3 linked regions of the Schizosaccharomyces pombe genome follow. The gene in region 1 interacts genetically with each later gene. Each region holds a gene or a part of one and is shown in the gene's direction. Other genes may lie near its edges.

Region 1 (5,372 bases):
TACTTATAATTGAAGCAGATATCAAACTGTACATTTAAACAATTGTATAATTCATTAAATCATACCTTATTGGCAATTTACAACGAGACTGTAGAACTCCACAACAGGTTTGGAGCGAGTTAGTTCTGTTGAACTGTATTTTATACTATTTCCTATTTGTTGGTCGAGCTCAATAGATTTTGGTAGGTTTACTATATCTTTTTAGGTATCAGTTGTAACTACCATTCAATACTTTGTAATTCAAAAATCATTATGTTTATTTTTATAGAAATTAATATGTGCCGCTGTTCAACATCACCATTTTCTTGTTTCAGATTTAAAGAATTAATTATCCTGTTCTCCACGGAAGCTCTGAGTTTTAAGTCTGCACGTACTCATTGCCGATATTTATTTCAACTCAATAGGTATCATTACGGTTTGGAGAACCTAAAAAATCTTAAATTATGAATTCCAACGTAAATATATGAGGAAAATAAAGATGTGCCATGCTTTACATATTTTGAGCGAATCGACCAGCTATAAACAGTACTCATCAACACATTAGTGGTGAGCATACCGTACATGGAAAAGCAAAACATCCTTTTTTAATAATACAATTTTTTCTTATTAACTAAAATCCTTACCCGATTAGGTGGGTGTTGTTCATCCATTATCTGTGCTACATTTAGAGAGAGACCTCTTTCCAAATCGATTACACTTTCATTTTCTATGTTTACACATCACTCATTTGTAAATAGACCTTCTAACTGGACAATAAAATTTTCTCAGTTTTTAAATTAAAGAAATGGAGAGTATTATACAATATTGCATGAATTGAAAACATTGAAGCGAAAGAGCGTGAACAAGGATTTCATCCTAACTCGTAAAGCAAATGTTCATTCTGCCTCGTTTGACATATCAGACGGAAGTCAAATCAAAGTGGATTTAAATTATAAAATAACTTGAAGTTTCATTTTATCATGTTTGCAGATTTTATTTACATTTCATCTCCACATTCCAATTGTATGCACATATGCAATACCCACTGTTACTGGTTCCTTTCTTAACGAAAATTATCGCCGCATACTAAAAAATATTTAATTTGTTTATTGTGACTGTAAATTAATTTGTGTTTTTAGATCTTTTATCGGGTTTCTTCAGGACGGGCTTGATGACACTTCGATTGTTTACAGAATATATCTATAGTTAAATTATTTAAACAACATTAGCAAGTCCAACCTATAATAAGGAAAATAAGCTCACTCTGGAAGTTCTACTGGTTTGGCCGATAATGTTTTTAGCAACATGTAACAGCGTTTACTATTGAATTTGTTTAAATTTCTTAAATACCATTTTGATCATAGCAATTCTGTTCGGTTGCTTATAATATTGCTCTAAATTATTTTTTATTTCACTTACTTCTTCTGCGTTTTATTTCTTGCTGACTGTAAATATGGTTAAATTGTTTTCAAAAACAAAGTATCAAATTTTTTTTTGTGCTTCTTCAGCGGACAAATGAATAGTAAAAACTGAAAGCGTGCTTTTTTGTTGGTAATAATGTTTGATTTACTCTTTTTTTTTTTTTTTTTTTTTTTTTTTTTTTGGCTCAGACCTTCTTGCTCATAATGATCTGGGCCATAGTACATCAATTTTCGAAGACAGTAATAAAGCAATTAAAAAAAAAAATTTTCGCCATTGATTCAAACTCACATCAGTTATCAATTAAAAAATTTCTTTACAGTTAATTTCTGCTATATTATTTTATTGAACCTTTTTAAATTCATTCAACCATTACGGAAGACACTAAATTTCCTTAAAGAATGAGTTCTGAGCTAAAGGATCAGTGGCCAGCTTTAAGAATAAGATATATTACGGCAAAGTTTCAGAATTATCTAAATATAATTTAATATAAATACATTTAACGATTATATTATGTATAGTATTATAATCCAATTAATTAATGGTAGCATATAATGACACGCAAAAGGGCTTAGTGAAGTCTTGCTGCTGACAATAAAGTGCATATAATGTTAGCTTCGCAGTTTGGTATCTGATTTAAGGATACATAGAACTGCGGTGAGTTTTCCTTGTGATCTATTATATTACAATACACAGGTTGTATGAGTAGCAACTGAGTATAGGTATTGTATTAACTAGGTTATAATGTTACCTATCACTAATATATCTTATAACTGAACTGAGGGACGAGGTTCAGTTGTTCTCAATTTATAATATTTGAAGTAGTAAGAATTATATCTGATAGTTATCTTATCATGAATGATATTATATCTCCATCTTGATGACTTATCATGTAATAGTTGATAGAGCAAATAGAACATTGTGAACATGTGACATATAGTGATATGCAACGTGGAGTATCATTGCGTAGTGTAGTATTGCTGACAATAACGAACTAAACCAGTATATTGTTATCCTACGCTAGCACCAGACTCAGCTGAGTTTACCAAGTAGGGCGATGCGATGAAGCAAAAGCATTCATTGCTTTAACCATGATAGAATGTCGCTTGAATTACCAGGAAACTACCGACTTTCCAGGCTTAAATCAATACAAATAAGAAATGTTCAAGAAATTCAAAATCATAGCAAATTTGCGATCAATACGACGGAAAATTTGTGGAAACGAGATGTGCAGTTAAAACGTGCAATTTCCGAAGGAACTATTCGTATTTTTATATCATTGCATGTGCAGAGTAAGAAATTGCCTGTTTATATTACTGAAACGAGCGGAAATGCTGTATGTGAACATGCTTTGATAAACAAAAGTATCTGAATGGTATCATTATATCTAGGTTATTTGCTTGATTGAAAAGGTTAATCAGTTTGTTTATACAAGTGATTTGCCAAAATTTCGTTGCTCAAATCCTTGAAACAAAGCCCTCAATTGATAGTTTATACCTTGTATCTCTTTTACCCATATACAAATTTTGTATGTATTTATGTTCTTTGTGTCTAACCTCTCATTAGAATCACATCTTTTACGTCGATGAAAAAGTAACCGAAAAGCTTCAAAAATACCGTCACGAAGAGTACTTTATCGTGAGGACTTGGTGCTCATCAAGTAGTCATGCCTTCAAGCTACATAAAGAATGGAAAATTTTGAGATATGACAGTAATTTTCGTTATATTGGTAATGATGTACGGTTGAATATTTTTGGTTTACCTTATGTTTCCCTTGTGTTGACTAACATATTATTTGTAGCCTGTTTTTGCAGTTTGTCATATTCGAAACGGTCTTTTATGTGAATTTAATGATGGCGTTTACATCTACACAACATCCCAGTCTTCGGATATTATGAGACAGACCTCCTTTCCAAAAAGTGCCTCCACATATTCTATAGACAGGCGGAAGGATGGTTACACTATTCAGAAAATCACTCGAATTTTGAAACTGGCTGAATGCATAGATGAAATGCACATTGCTAAACATGAAATTCGAGCTCATTTTCAGGAGGAGGAGTTTCAGCAGATACGTTTGATGCACAAAAGGATGTTACTTCGGGATGAAAAAATCGATGAACTGGCTAAATTAGAACATCTTTGGCAAAAACAAATTAATAGCATCACTCAGATGAGGACGAAATTTGACAAGACGAAAAGCTGGTTATCCTCAAAAAGGAACACTTTGAACAAATCCAAAGAATCCCTTCAAAAAGATGAAGCTGAGTATGTGGAACTTGCCAATTCTTTAAAAACAAAAGTAGAGACCAATATAGAGATTCGAATCCTTATGGCACATGCTATTCGTATGCACGTTTCCCATCTTTCCAAAATTTACCCAATCCAACCATCGCCTGGCAATCATGACGAGTTTACAATTCGCAATCTCCGCCTATCTTTTGAGCCAGATAAAATTAATAATGTGGAAATGGCTGCTTCCATAGGATTTTTGGCGCATTTACTTCAAACTCTTTCAAAGTATCTCGAAAAAGAACTCGCTTATCCAATTCTTTGCGCATCTTCGAGATCCTCCATCCTGGATACATTGACACCCGACATCCCCACGCGTATCTTTCCCCTTTATCCAGCAACTCGACCAATTGAGCTTTTTGAACATGCCATTTATCTTCTCAACCAGGATGTAAATGATTTTTTAGAAACTTTTGGATTACCTATTGACCAATCCATGGACATACTCAGGAACTTTAAAAAACTGCTCCAATTTATTTTATCAGGACAACATCTATCTTTTGTACAAGTAACGTCTACCGCTCCTTAACAATTCCATAAGCTTAGGCACCATAAGCCTAAATTATCGTTAATTGCAAAACTACGCATAACTTGTCTATCGTTTAATTGTATCTTTTCACCCTAGTTTACTCTCAACAATCAATTTCGTTTTCGTATTCTTTGTTGGAAATTCATATACCCATTTCACGGTTTAATTTTAATCATCTTAATGAAGAGTTTTTATGGACATTTGCCGAAGGCATATTACTCATTGTCATTGCGACAACTACTATACAATGCATTTACGTTTAAAATATAAAAATAAACAGATAATGATGAATGTAGATATTATAAATAGTTCCCTTAAATTAATAAAACTTGTGAATTAAAAAATAAAAAGAGCCATGTTCATTTTTTGATAGTTATGTGATGGTGATCGAGCTCTTCCGGTTACATCCGACCCACATATTCTAGGTATAGGCAGGCGGAGCGGGTCCTACACTTTCAAAAACTGGCGGGCATTCTTCATCCCAACTAATACCTAAACCAGCTGGCGTGGTAAGTGGCTGAACGACTGATACTCGTAAGATACGGGCATTGCCCATATTGTTTCCCGCAACGTTCTTTTTTCTATTAACAATGGTCTCAAAAATTAAATGATGAGAGACTTTTAAGGAAAAAGGGGCAGGAATTTCCACGTCACAGCTTGGCTCTCTTAAAGAAGATGTGTTAATTTGAGTAGATAGAAACATCTGATTATCAATGAACTTCCATCCCGATTGTAAATCTTGTGTACTCAAAATTCTTTTTTCTTCAATAGGTCGAGGTTTTACCAAATCACGATGGCGTTCACATGGTTGACAACTAAACTGCATATGCTCCTCCAATCTCCAAGTAACTCTATTGATCTTCCAATCGTTGCCGTCATTTTGGGCAAAACCAGTCATGGTAACTTCCATAAGCGCAGCTCCATGAGGATGCAAGGTACTGGGCAAAGTAATGTTTGCAACAAGATTCGTAGGGGGAAAGATACGTTTATGGATGGTATCAGGCGAAGGAATGGCAGCTCGCTTTAGTTGGAGAGGAAACTTAAGAACTTCGGGCTTCGAGGGAGAAATTCCGCCTTCAGGAGTACCATAGCATAACGTAGCTTCTAAATAATACTCAAGCTTGATGTATCTGTTAGAAACCGAAGCAGGAAGCGA
Region 2 (4,494 bases), 1.6 Mb from region 1:
GGTTAGAGCTTGTATCGTATCGAGGTTTACGTGACTGAGAAAATGGCATGGCATGGCATGGCACTCCCTTAATACATTCGTAAAGGATTGAGAGGCGAGCATGACCGCTGCTTTCATCACCGACCTCAATTGCATACCCACAGCAATTACATAAGATCGACCCCAATTGCCTATGATTTGATGTCTAGCAATTGTGTATGATTGATCGCCATTGTGTAGCTGTAGGTGTTATTATGTCTCTTTAAACTTGAACTTGTTTTCTCGTGCTGCTTTGGTATAGTGTTGTACGTTTTAGAGCACACGAATACAAGTTCAAGTTTAAAGTGGGCTTTATGTGTCTTCTTACCTGTGTTAACTCAGAATCAACATAACATGGCTTATACAGCTAAATGGCGCAGTGTAGTGTGCTGGAATGCAGCAACGAAAATCAGAAATTGTGAAATTCGATGATGAGTACTAATGCTTTGTGACGTAGATGATTGGGAAGTGCTAAAGGTGGGTGGGTGGATGGAGTAGTTAGTAGGAGGAGAAATGAACCTTAAGATATAGAAAGAAGTGGAGAAAATAAATTCGTTCTATAATGACTGGTCATCCAGGTAATTAAAGAGAGGGAGAAATTTTTGAGGTTGATTGTTTTCATCCCGCCCTTCCTATTAGCAATAAGGAAATTTGGTGTTGTTTATTTAACGAGATTTTTCGTGGGTTGATGGTATGTGGCTTCAGAATGGGATAATAACCTTGCATTGAAAGAGCAGGATATAAAGCATGCTTCAAAATATGTGTGCTATTAGCTATATTTTAAAAGACGTGTATTTTACCACAAATTTATTCTTCACATGTAATTTTCATACATTCACTTTTATTCTTATATAAACTAATGTCCCGTGGAATTTTCACTAAGCTACTACTATATTTATTCATAGAACGAGAAACCACCCTTTGTGGACATTTAGACTATTATTCTAACTTGATTCACGTGCCGTGTTGGTAAAAGCATAAGTTCAATTAAAAGAGCTTTTATCTCTAAAATAGAAGCAACAAATGCGATGCGAGTAGGAATGAAGTCAATTCTTAAAGGTAAAGCTTCTACCAAGATAAACTTACATATGAGTTAATAAATATTATGGTTAGGATACTCAAATTATAAGATAGCTTTTTGAGATTGTTTTTTGTTTGTAATATATTATTTTTTTTTTTTTTTCCTGTTTCGTTAGATCGTTATTTATTTTATTTTATTGTACTGTGTTTATTTTATTTTATTGAATAGTTCTTATGTGTGTGTTGTCTTTTTTAAATTTAATATTAAATGACATCTTTTTATTTTTTTATTTTTATTTTTCTTTAGCTTCACTTAAACCAATTATTCCTTTTAACTCATCGTCCATATTAACTATAATGTCTCCATACTATTTATGCTTCCTTAATTTCAAATTTCTCATTAACATTAATTTTACATCTACATCTACATTTATATATTTTTTTTTTGCAAACCTACGTAGAGTAACTTTCTCTTTTCCTTCGTTAAAACGATATCAATTTTAATACGAATTTACTCATTGTATTTCCATCTTTTCTCGTCTCCTCGCTCTAATCCTTTGTCGCTTTGATTTATTTGATTGCACTTACTCCATTGAAAACTCTTGATTCCCCGAACCCCCACATCCATCCAGTCCTTGAGAGATGCAAGACAAGAGAGGTTCATGGACCCAAGTGGGGTCGATTTTTTTTGGAGTGAGTTCCTTTTGATATCAATTGACCATGCTAAAAGCTTGACAAAAACAAGTATTTATCCAAGTGAGAACTAATTCACTAAGTAGATAATTTTTTGTTAAAGTTAGTTTTATGAAACGTACGTTTACTATTTACTCAAAAAAATTGAACCGAGATATCGGAGTCAATGCTATTCGCGATTCAAAAGAAAGATCAAGTGTTAACAGGAGCTTGAGTCGAATTTTCATACACTCATATACCCAAAGAAACACATTAATAAACAAACACCTAACTTGGCGTTTGTTTTCAAATACTAAACGAGCGCTGACGTCAATGGCTGATCGATCTATAGACTAGCGAAAATAGCAATAATTTGTACAATTGGAAGATCATAAGTATACATGGGTTTGAGCTTTTAGCGTGCACATTTTCGTATCAATTTCTTTTCTGAATGTAACTAAAAGACACTACAGATATTGTAGTAAATTCATCTTCCAATTCACTGCTTTGCTGTTAGGATATCGGGTACACAATCGCAAAATAGATTGCGGCAGCTTTCGGCCCCGCTCATATGTTTTCTATTCCGATGGAAGAAAAAGAGTTCAAATCGCACTCGCTTCCACACTACAACTACGCAATAACTCATCATTTCCCCACAAAAGTGACGTATTGTCCGTCGGCTATGTCCTAATGCAAAGCTTTATTTATTTGCGAGTTTTCCTCACCTTTTCGTCAATCTAATTTCAATCAATCATTTTTTTTACTTGCTTCATTTTCAAAGCATTCGTTATTCTAATCTTTTCTTCATTCTTACTATAACGAGATCATAAATTCTTTCTTGTTATACATACCGTTTCTACTTCGCTGCTAATTCTTTTTTTCTTTTGACATTTGTGCCTGTCTATTAATAATTCTTAACAGACATACTCTACTTCTCACTACTTCTTTTTTTCTAAGTTACAGTTTCTCATTAATTACTTTATCGAAAGATGTCTGTTTATCAAACTTACAAGGGCTTGCCAGCTGGTTGGGTCGCCCAATGGGATCCAACTTATCAAGCTTACTTTTACATTAATGAAACGTTTGAAGGTGCTCAACCACAGTGGGAGCCTCCTATTCCAGGCTTGCATATTCCTCCTCCTCCCGGTACCACTACCGTCGTCTATCAAAAGGACGTGCCTCGCTCTTCTGACGGCTCACGGTCTATGACGGCTGGATTAGGAGGTTTCATGGTTGGAGCTTTAGCCGGCAGTGTTCTTCGTGGTCACCGTGCTTACTACGCCCCTCCTCCTCCCAGAGGCCCTTTGTTTGGTCCAAGAATCGGTGGTGGCCATCATGGCCCACTTCATGGTCCTCACGGTGGTTTCGGCGGCCGCGGTGGTGGACGCATGGGTGGACGTGGTGGACGTGGCCGCAGATGAAAAGCGTTGATTTTTATTTAAATTTGGTTCCGATTTCGTCCTACATACTATGGTCGTTGATTATGGAATCGCTCTTTTTTTTTGAGAACATCACTTTCTCCTTTGAATAGAATCACCAAATTCACGTATACGACTCTTTCGAAATTGTTAAATGGAAAACACGATATCCAGTGAAGTTCTTTTTATTCCCTTGAAATTTCATACTATTTTTGCTAATCGTTCTAAAATTGTTATATTCTGTTAGTCGTTCTTTGACCTAATTTCTTGTTTACTTATATTAATTTTGTTATCATCTGATCTTTACTTGTTTCAAGCTTCCTTATTTATTGTACCATTGCATTCTTTATTGGGATTTCGAGGAAAACGGTCTAATTTATAAAATTTCTGTTTAATACCAAAGAAGTAAGGAGCATATATTATAATGGGTGTGAATATCGACGGAGTTGGTTGTCGATGGAATCATTTTTTTGGCATTTATCACTTCGACGTGTATTTACTTATTTATTTATATTTTTTTTTGGTTAATTGTAAAAAATTGGGTGAAGCACAATTTTTGAAACTTTTAAAAAATCAATGGTTGTTTTTTCAGACGTTAAATTAGTTTATTATGCATGATTTAAAATAGTCAATTATATATCTTTCATTTATTATTATCATTGTTTTTTCATTACTAGTTGTCCTTTTTTTTTGGGTATTTTAGTTGAATAGTTTATAGTGGTGTATTACTGACTATATAATTGGCAAACTCAGATATTTGTTTGGTTTTGGATTAAATGCACAATTCCGAAAAAATTAAGGCAGAAAGAAAAAAAATTTTTTTTACACTTATGGGATGTCATACCACTATTTTAAAAGACAAACAGATATCATTTGAATCGTTTAAAACCTGTATTTATCAAGCTGTTTAAAATAAGAGAAATATAACTTGGCTCTTGGATACACATAATGAAATAAGAAAAGTTAATATATTTCAAAATTAAGAAATATTATCTACGGTACAACATTTATTTGTTCATATTACGATTATTCAGTAAGGATACGTAAATTTGTACCTGGCAATTATCAAATGAATGTCGAGGGTTTTCATAGCAATGCAAAACCGTTTGTTTTTAAGCAAAGCCGGCGATTAAAAAGGGTAATAAGAGCAATTTTCCTTTTTCAATTAGCTATGTTTCAAGTCAAGCAGCATTAGTGAAACCCTGATATTCTGAGTTTGAATAAAACAAATTGGCAGTCTATTTTCCATGAACAGCTTTCGATAATTAGTGAAGTACTTTTAAAAACACGTTAATACCACTTTAATGGAACTCGTAAATTCGTAAACTAGGAATGACGAATTATGGTTTGGGGCAATCACGATATA
Region 3 (5,650 bases), on another chromosome or scaffold:
TCTTCATACATGCTTGATAGGATCCTAGAAGTACTTTACTTCTGAATATTTCATGTGAATTCATTTCTCATTGTATTTTTTAGATTCGCAAGATTTCAATTCATTACCGATATCCGGTATATTATCAAATAATTTACATAACAATAATGATAACTCCATTATCATCCTACACATTTAAAGAATACACTGGTAAAAACAATCATTTCCTCTCAATAGTACTTTTGAATGTGTTTTAAAAATCTAAGTGTATCCATTTCGTAAATAGAGAGTTTCACTTTGAATATTATTTCTATTTTCTTTTAGGGATTTCTAGTTGAAAAAAAAAAGCGCTTCATATAATTTTAATCAATGAAGAAGATAAATTGTTTTAAATACGAAATCTCATACAACTTCATCCTTCAGTAAATTTTTTACCAAAGTTGCTCTTGGTCGCACATCTTTAAAGGTAGCCTCAGCTATAAGACCATAAACAAAAAATCTATAGAGGCATTGTAAAGAGATAAGCAACTTCGAAGTTTTATACACCAAACACAAGTAGTTATCAGAGTTTTCCATTTAGTTTAATTTAATTTGGCTAACTATATATTACACTTAGGGAGTATTCAGCTGTGCGACAAATTTCCACAATTACGCATATCTAGTTTATCACTCCTTAAGTTGGTATTTGTGATTTTGGACGAGTTGTTGCTTAACTTGTATTGCGAAACTTACTATAATACAGTATTCGTTGACCTTAATACCTCAACTGCCTTTGCTACGCTAAGGATTCATCACATACCGATGACACTTCAGTAGTTCTTTAAATTTATTTAAGACGTACAAGCCAGTGCATAATCTAGGTTTACAAAACTCTTTGTTATAGCTCCTTAGACACGGGAACTAAGCAAAGGAGGTATACAGTCTGGATACACGGGAACTCTTAAACAAAGTGTAAAATAATGTATCTCTTAATAACTCTGTCGAAATGGTTATATATCACATTGTGAGCTTGTTACAATACCTTATAGCTTTGCATTTAGTTCAGTGCAGTTTCTTATGTTTGTGTTTTGGGTTTGTAAAGTATGATAAAACGAGAGAGATATTTTGACAAACTGATGAAATTCAAGATCTACTGTATCAGCTTATAACTGGAATAGAAAGAAAGAATATAAAGGCTACAATGTAGCCATGTGCGGTCAACGTTTAGACTGCCGATCTTATGACCTAACTAAAGCGATCGCTATTCAGATCCATTTCTGCTTGTAGGGATGAGACTTTGTAGAATAGCAAATCTGTAAATTAACAAATCTTCAAATTTTGTTGCATCAAGCAATAACTTCTACTCTATCTGTTTCTATCAATGGTTTTTCATATCTCGAATTGAAATATTTCCAATGTGAATCAACTAAAAACATCGCACCCCATTACCTTATTGAATATTCGAATTTGGGGATTTCCTAGAAGAGTTGGACATTAAATGACGTTAATAGAAGTAAAAAAAAAATAGAAAGTCGTTTCATCATGGACTTGTCGATGATTTGCATTACCAGACAATTTTACATCCGTGAGTTCGCAGCAATCGGGTTGGTATCCGTTTATAAATTTAGCCGTTGATATTCATCCCGTCATTTAAAGCTGAGCCTAGGTTGATCTAAATATTCCATTATAGAATCGCTGAAATATTTATTGAATAGGGCATAAATGGTACCCATGAATGCTAATGATAACTAGGCAATCCAACTCCAACTGGCATCTAAAGACTTAGTAATATGACCACCATTTCATAATCTCACGGTGCTACATATAGAAAATCGTTAACATCATAGATGGCATCTTCGGAGTTCCTTCTAGTCCACGCCGAATTGCGGATCAAGGTAAGCAGATCATGAGAAACGTGGGTCATGCGAAAAGTGAGTCTACAAGTGAGTTCATCCTCAAAAGCCTATATATATTATATATATAGCACTTGGGAATAAATGAATAAAGGTTGCAACTTTAGTGATTGAATCGGTAAATCCCGTTAAAACAAACAATCAGTGATTCATCCTTCTTTAGTGTGATCTGTGTAGGTAAGCAAGCAATTTACAAATGCCTAGAAAGTTGGCAAGGCCGGTTTGTGTTTGGCAAGGAAATGAGCAAAAACGTCTGTCTATTCCTAAAACGGACGGTGGGTAAGCAAAATCCCAACTTGAAAATTTGAATTGGGATTTTTTTATTTCAATGGAAAAAGATAGGTTAAATCATAAAAAAGAACATGATATTATTTTCTTGGAAATATGTCGAAATCCTGTCTCATCCCAACCTTTTCGACAAAACTAGGTGTCCTGATGGAAATATAGTTTAAGCTCATCGCTTGCCGAACCGCTCCATCAAATGCTTAATTTGCTTTTATTGACATTGTAGCTCGACGGACTCTCTAGATATCTAAATATTTTTCGTTGAACTTACTAGATTGGGAATTGACAATTGAAAGCTCTTTAATTGATTACTTTCATTGTCTTGATTTTTTTCATTCTCAGAAAATTTCAAAAAATTCAGACTTTAGAAACTCGCTGTTTGTTAATCACTCTCTTGCTTTTTTTGGATTCAGAGAAAATTGAAAAATTCGAACTTTTTTTAAAAACGAATCATTGACCGTATTCTATCCTTTTATCCTTTATTAAACCAACCTTGCTTTTTTAATTTTTATTTTATTTTTTTTTAAACATGAAATTATCTTCCTTTGGATTATTTCTCGCTCTCCAGCTTTTGCCGGCCTTGGGCCTTCCTTCTCGTATCGATGAAGTAGACGTTTCAGACCCAGAACTAATCGGATTATTGAAACCCGATAACGTTGATAAGCCAGCAAACTCTATACCCCTTTCCAAGCGTAGCACAAGCCCATCGTATGCGCCTTATACTGTTGCTTGCCCTAGTGGCTCTCTGCTTCGACCTGCCTCCGATGGCCTTAGTACTGGTGAACAAGAATTTGTTGACAAACGTGTCTCAAAGGTTAACAGTGCATTGGAAAGCTTTATTTCAAAAACCGGCTTAAAAATCGATACAAAAAGTGTGCTGAATGACACAGATGGCCCTCGTTTGGGAATTGCAATCTCTGGCGGTGGATTTCCTGCCATGTTAACGGGAGCCGGCGCTATTAATGCATTTGATGCTAGAAATGGTAACACTACGTCTCTTGGTGGTATTCTTCAATCTTCCATGTACCTTACTGGTCTTTCTGGTGGCTCTTGGCTTGTGGGATCTGTTGCGGTTAACAACTTTGCCAATATTACTTTCTTGCACGACGACGTTTGGAACCTGGACCACAGTCTCTTCGCTCCCTATGACGACGCTTTTGAGAACTTTTATATTTACCAAGAGTGGTTTGAGCAAGTTCTGCAAAAGAAGAATGCTGGATTCAATGTCTCCATTACTGACCTTTGGGGCCGTGCTTTGGCTCTTAAGCTTGTCAATCCTTTGACTGGAGGTGCTAATACTACATTCTCTAGTGTAACAAATGAAACGTGGTTCCAGGATGGTGAATTTCCCTTTCCCATCATCATTGCTGATAATGTCATAGAGGGTGAAACCGTAATCCCTTTGAACGACACTGTCTTTGAATTTACACCCATCGAATTTGGTACTTGGGACACTGGGGTGGAATCATTTATACCCATGGAGTATACAGGTACACACCTTATTAATGGCATTCCTCTTAATGAATCCTGTGTGCGTAATTTCGACAACGCTGGTTTCCTCATGGGTACCTCTTCAAATGTTTTTAGCGGTATCCTTCCTGCGACAAATGCATCACTCACCGCTAGTAATAATACCTTTAACAATGCTGTCCTTAGTTTCCTCGAAATGCTTGCCGAAGATCAATTGGATGTAGGTCTTTATCCCAACCCTTACCAAGGTTATGGAAATGCTTCCAATACAACCACTACCAATCCCTTGGAGCCGTATCCCATTATTGAATTAATAGACGGTGGCTCAGATAGTGAAGGTATTCCCTTTTGGCCCTTGCTTCATCCACAAAGAGACGTAGATGTTATTTTTGCGATTGACGGGGGTTATCAAAGCGCAACGAGTGGATGGCCAGATGGATCGTCCCTAGTTTCTACATATGAAAGAGTTTTAGCCACTAACTCCTCTGGCGTTCGTGGTTTCCCATATATTCCTGATACCAACACATTTTTGGCTCTTGGTTTGAACACTCATCCAACTTTCTTCGGTTGCGACGGTAGAAACACCACAGCCGGAAACCATACCGTTAATGACGATACTCCTCCTCTTGTAGTTTACTTCCCCAACTATCCTTGGACTATGTATGCAAATGTCACTACCTACACTGTTCAACTGGAAGATACTTTGTCCAGTGGAATGATTGAAAATGCCGCTGTTGCTGCTACCCAAAATAACAGTGATTCATTTGCTGTCTGCGTTGCATGCGCTCTCGTTCAACGTTCCTTGGAACGCAAAAACATGTCGACTCCAAGTCAATGTGCTTCTTGCTTTAATCAATACTGTTGGAATGGAACAATTGCAAGCACGACCGTTACTACATATGCACCTACAGTTCTGTCAGCCAAGATTTAGTATGCAACGCTCACGACAATCCATTTTGTTCGATCTTTTCCATGGTAGCATAGAGCGTAAAGCATTGAAACACTAATGTTCATATATTCACTAATCTAAGAACCAGCAAAAGTCGGCTCTTTACTTATTGCTCATAAACAACGAGAAGGAAGATATAGTGAATAAATATAGGAATGAAAAAAGCTTCAAGAAGCCATTAACACCATCGAATTTGAATTCCTAAGCTCTAAATGACACTAATTTATGTAACCTTTGCAGAAATGTTTCAACTCAAATACTGTGTCAGCAGTAGTCCAGCACGCTACGATATACTACGTTGCGTAGCACTATATGTCATGCTAAAATATACATAACATTAGTTTATTGATGATTGTAGCTGTTTGTCCATCTATCTACACAAGTTACACATTGGTAGCAACTAGAGAAAAATATAAATAGAGCTACCACTGAACCTCATTCCTCAGTTCAGTTATTGGCTATATCGGTGACCGATACTACTAGACTTTTTATAACAATAAATATAATATTATTAGTTAACAAAGCGCATACCGCTATGTTGTAAATCCCTAGAAATCTCGCCGCAGTGCTATATATCGTTAAACCAGATACCAAACTGCGTAGCTGACATTATAATTATACTACAACGTTTGCTTCTCAAAAACGTTTTAAGGAAAGCTAAGTTAGGGTAAATAAAAAGGGCAGTGACAAAATAAATGTGTCAGAAGCAATTGCATTTTGAAAATGAGTTTTCGAATTTTAACTTTTACCTACTATTATTAAAGAGAGAAGTCTTCTTTGAAAGAAATTGCTCGTTTTTTATGTTGAACGGCTGAAATTGGGCTCCAGAGTGAAAATTCTTGATTTCGCTGTTTCGTTTGTCGCAATTATAGCAATTAATTCGCGCATGTATTTTATTAAATAAAGAATGATCTTGAAAAAATGAAGAATAATTACACTTCCTTGAAAAGTCCTATAGATGAAGGAGATGAATCGAAGACAGGACATGAAATCGATTTGGAAAAAGGGCTACTTCCAGAATATGATTCAGAGGAAGAGGGCGCACTGCCTCCATACTCGGGTAAGAATTGTAAAT

What was found. Genes that interact genetically often act in the same process or in processes that back each other up.
Region 2: mutations in vps38 (region 1) and wwm3 together harm fitness more than expected from each alone (negative genetic interaction), as found in Schizosaccharomyces pombe (one large-scale study listed by BioGRID).
Region 3: mutations in vps38 (region 1) and plb5 together harm fitness more than expected from each alone (negative genetic interaction), as found in Schizosaccharomyces pombe (one large-scale study listed by BioGRID).

Annotation. Positions count from the first base shown.
Region 1 is NC_003423.3:1,803,765-1,809,136, forward strand, and holds vps38 (phophatidylinositol 3-kinase complex subunit Vps38), read left to right. Parts: upstream 1-2,466; 5' UTR 2,467-2,497; coding exon 2,498-2,734; intron 2,735-2,964; coding exon 2,965-3,135; intron 3,136-3,199; coding exon 3,200-4,216; 3' UTR 4,217-4,553; downstream 4,554-5,372. Other genes in the region: arrestin-related substrate adaptor Any1, read right to left, coding at 4,638-5,372. UniProt on the Schizosaccharomyces pombe protein: Involved in endosome-to-Golgi retrograde transport as part of the vps34 PI3-kinase complex II. Mediates the interaction between atg6 and the pik3-ppk19 core complex, leading to the recruitment of atg6 to the membrane.
Region 2 is NC_003423.3:199,837-204,330, forward strand, and holds wwm3 (protein wwm3), read left to right. Parts: upstream 1-2,444; 5' UTR 2,445-2,699; coding exon 2,700-3,131; 3' UTR 3,132-3,787; downstream 3,788-4,494.
Region 3 is NC_003421.2:1,740,495-1,746,144, reverse strand, and holds plb5 (phospholipase Plb5), read left to right. Parts: upstream 1-2,685; coding exon 2,686-4,557; 3' UTR 4,558-4,943; downstream 4,944-5,650. Other genes in the region: wtf antidote-like meiotic drive suppressor Wtf16, read left to right, coding at 5,497-5,635.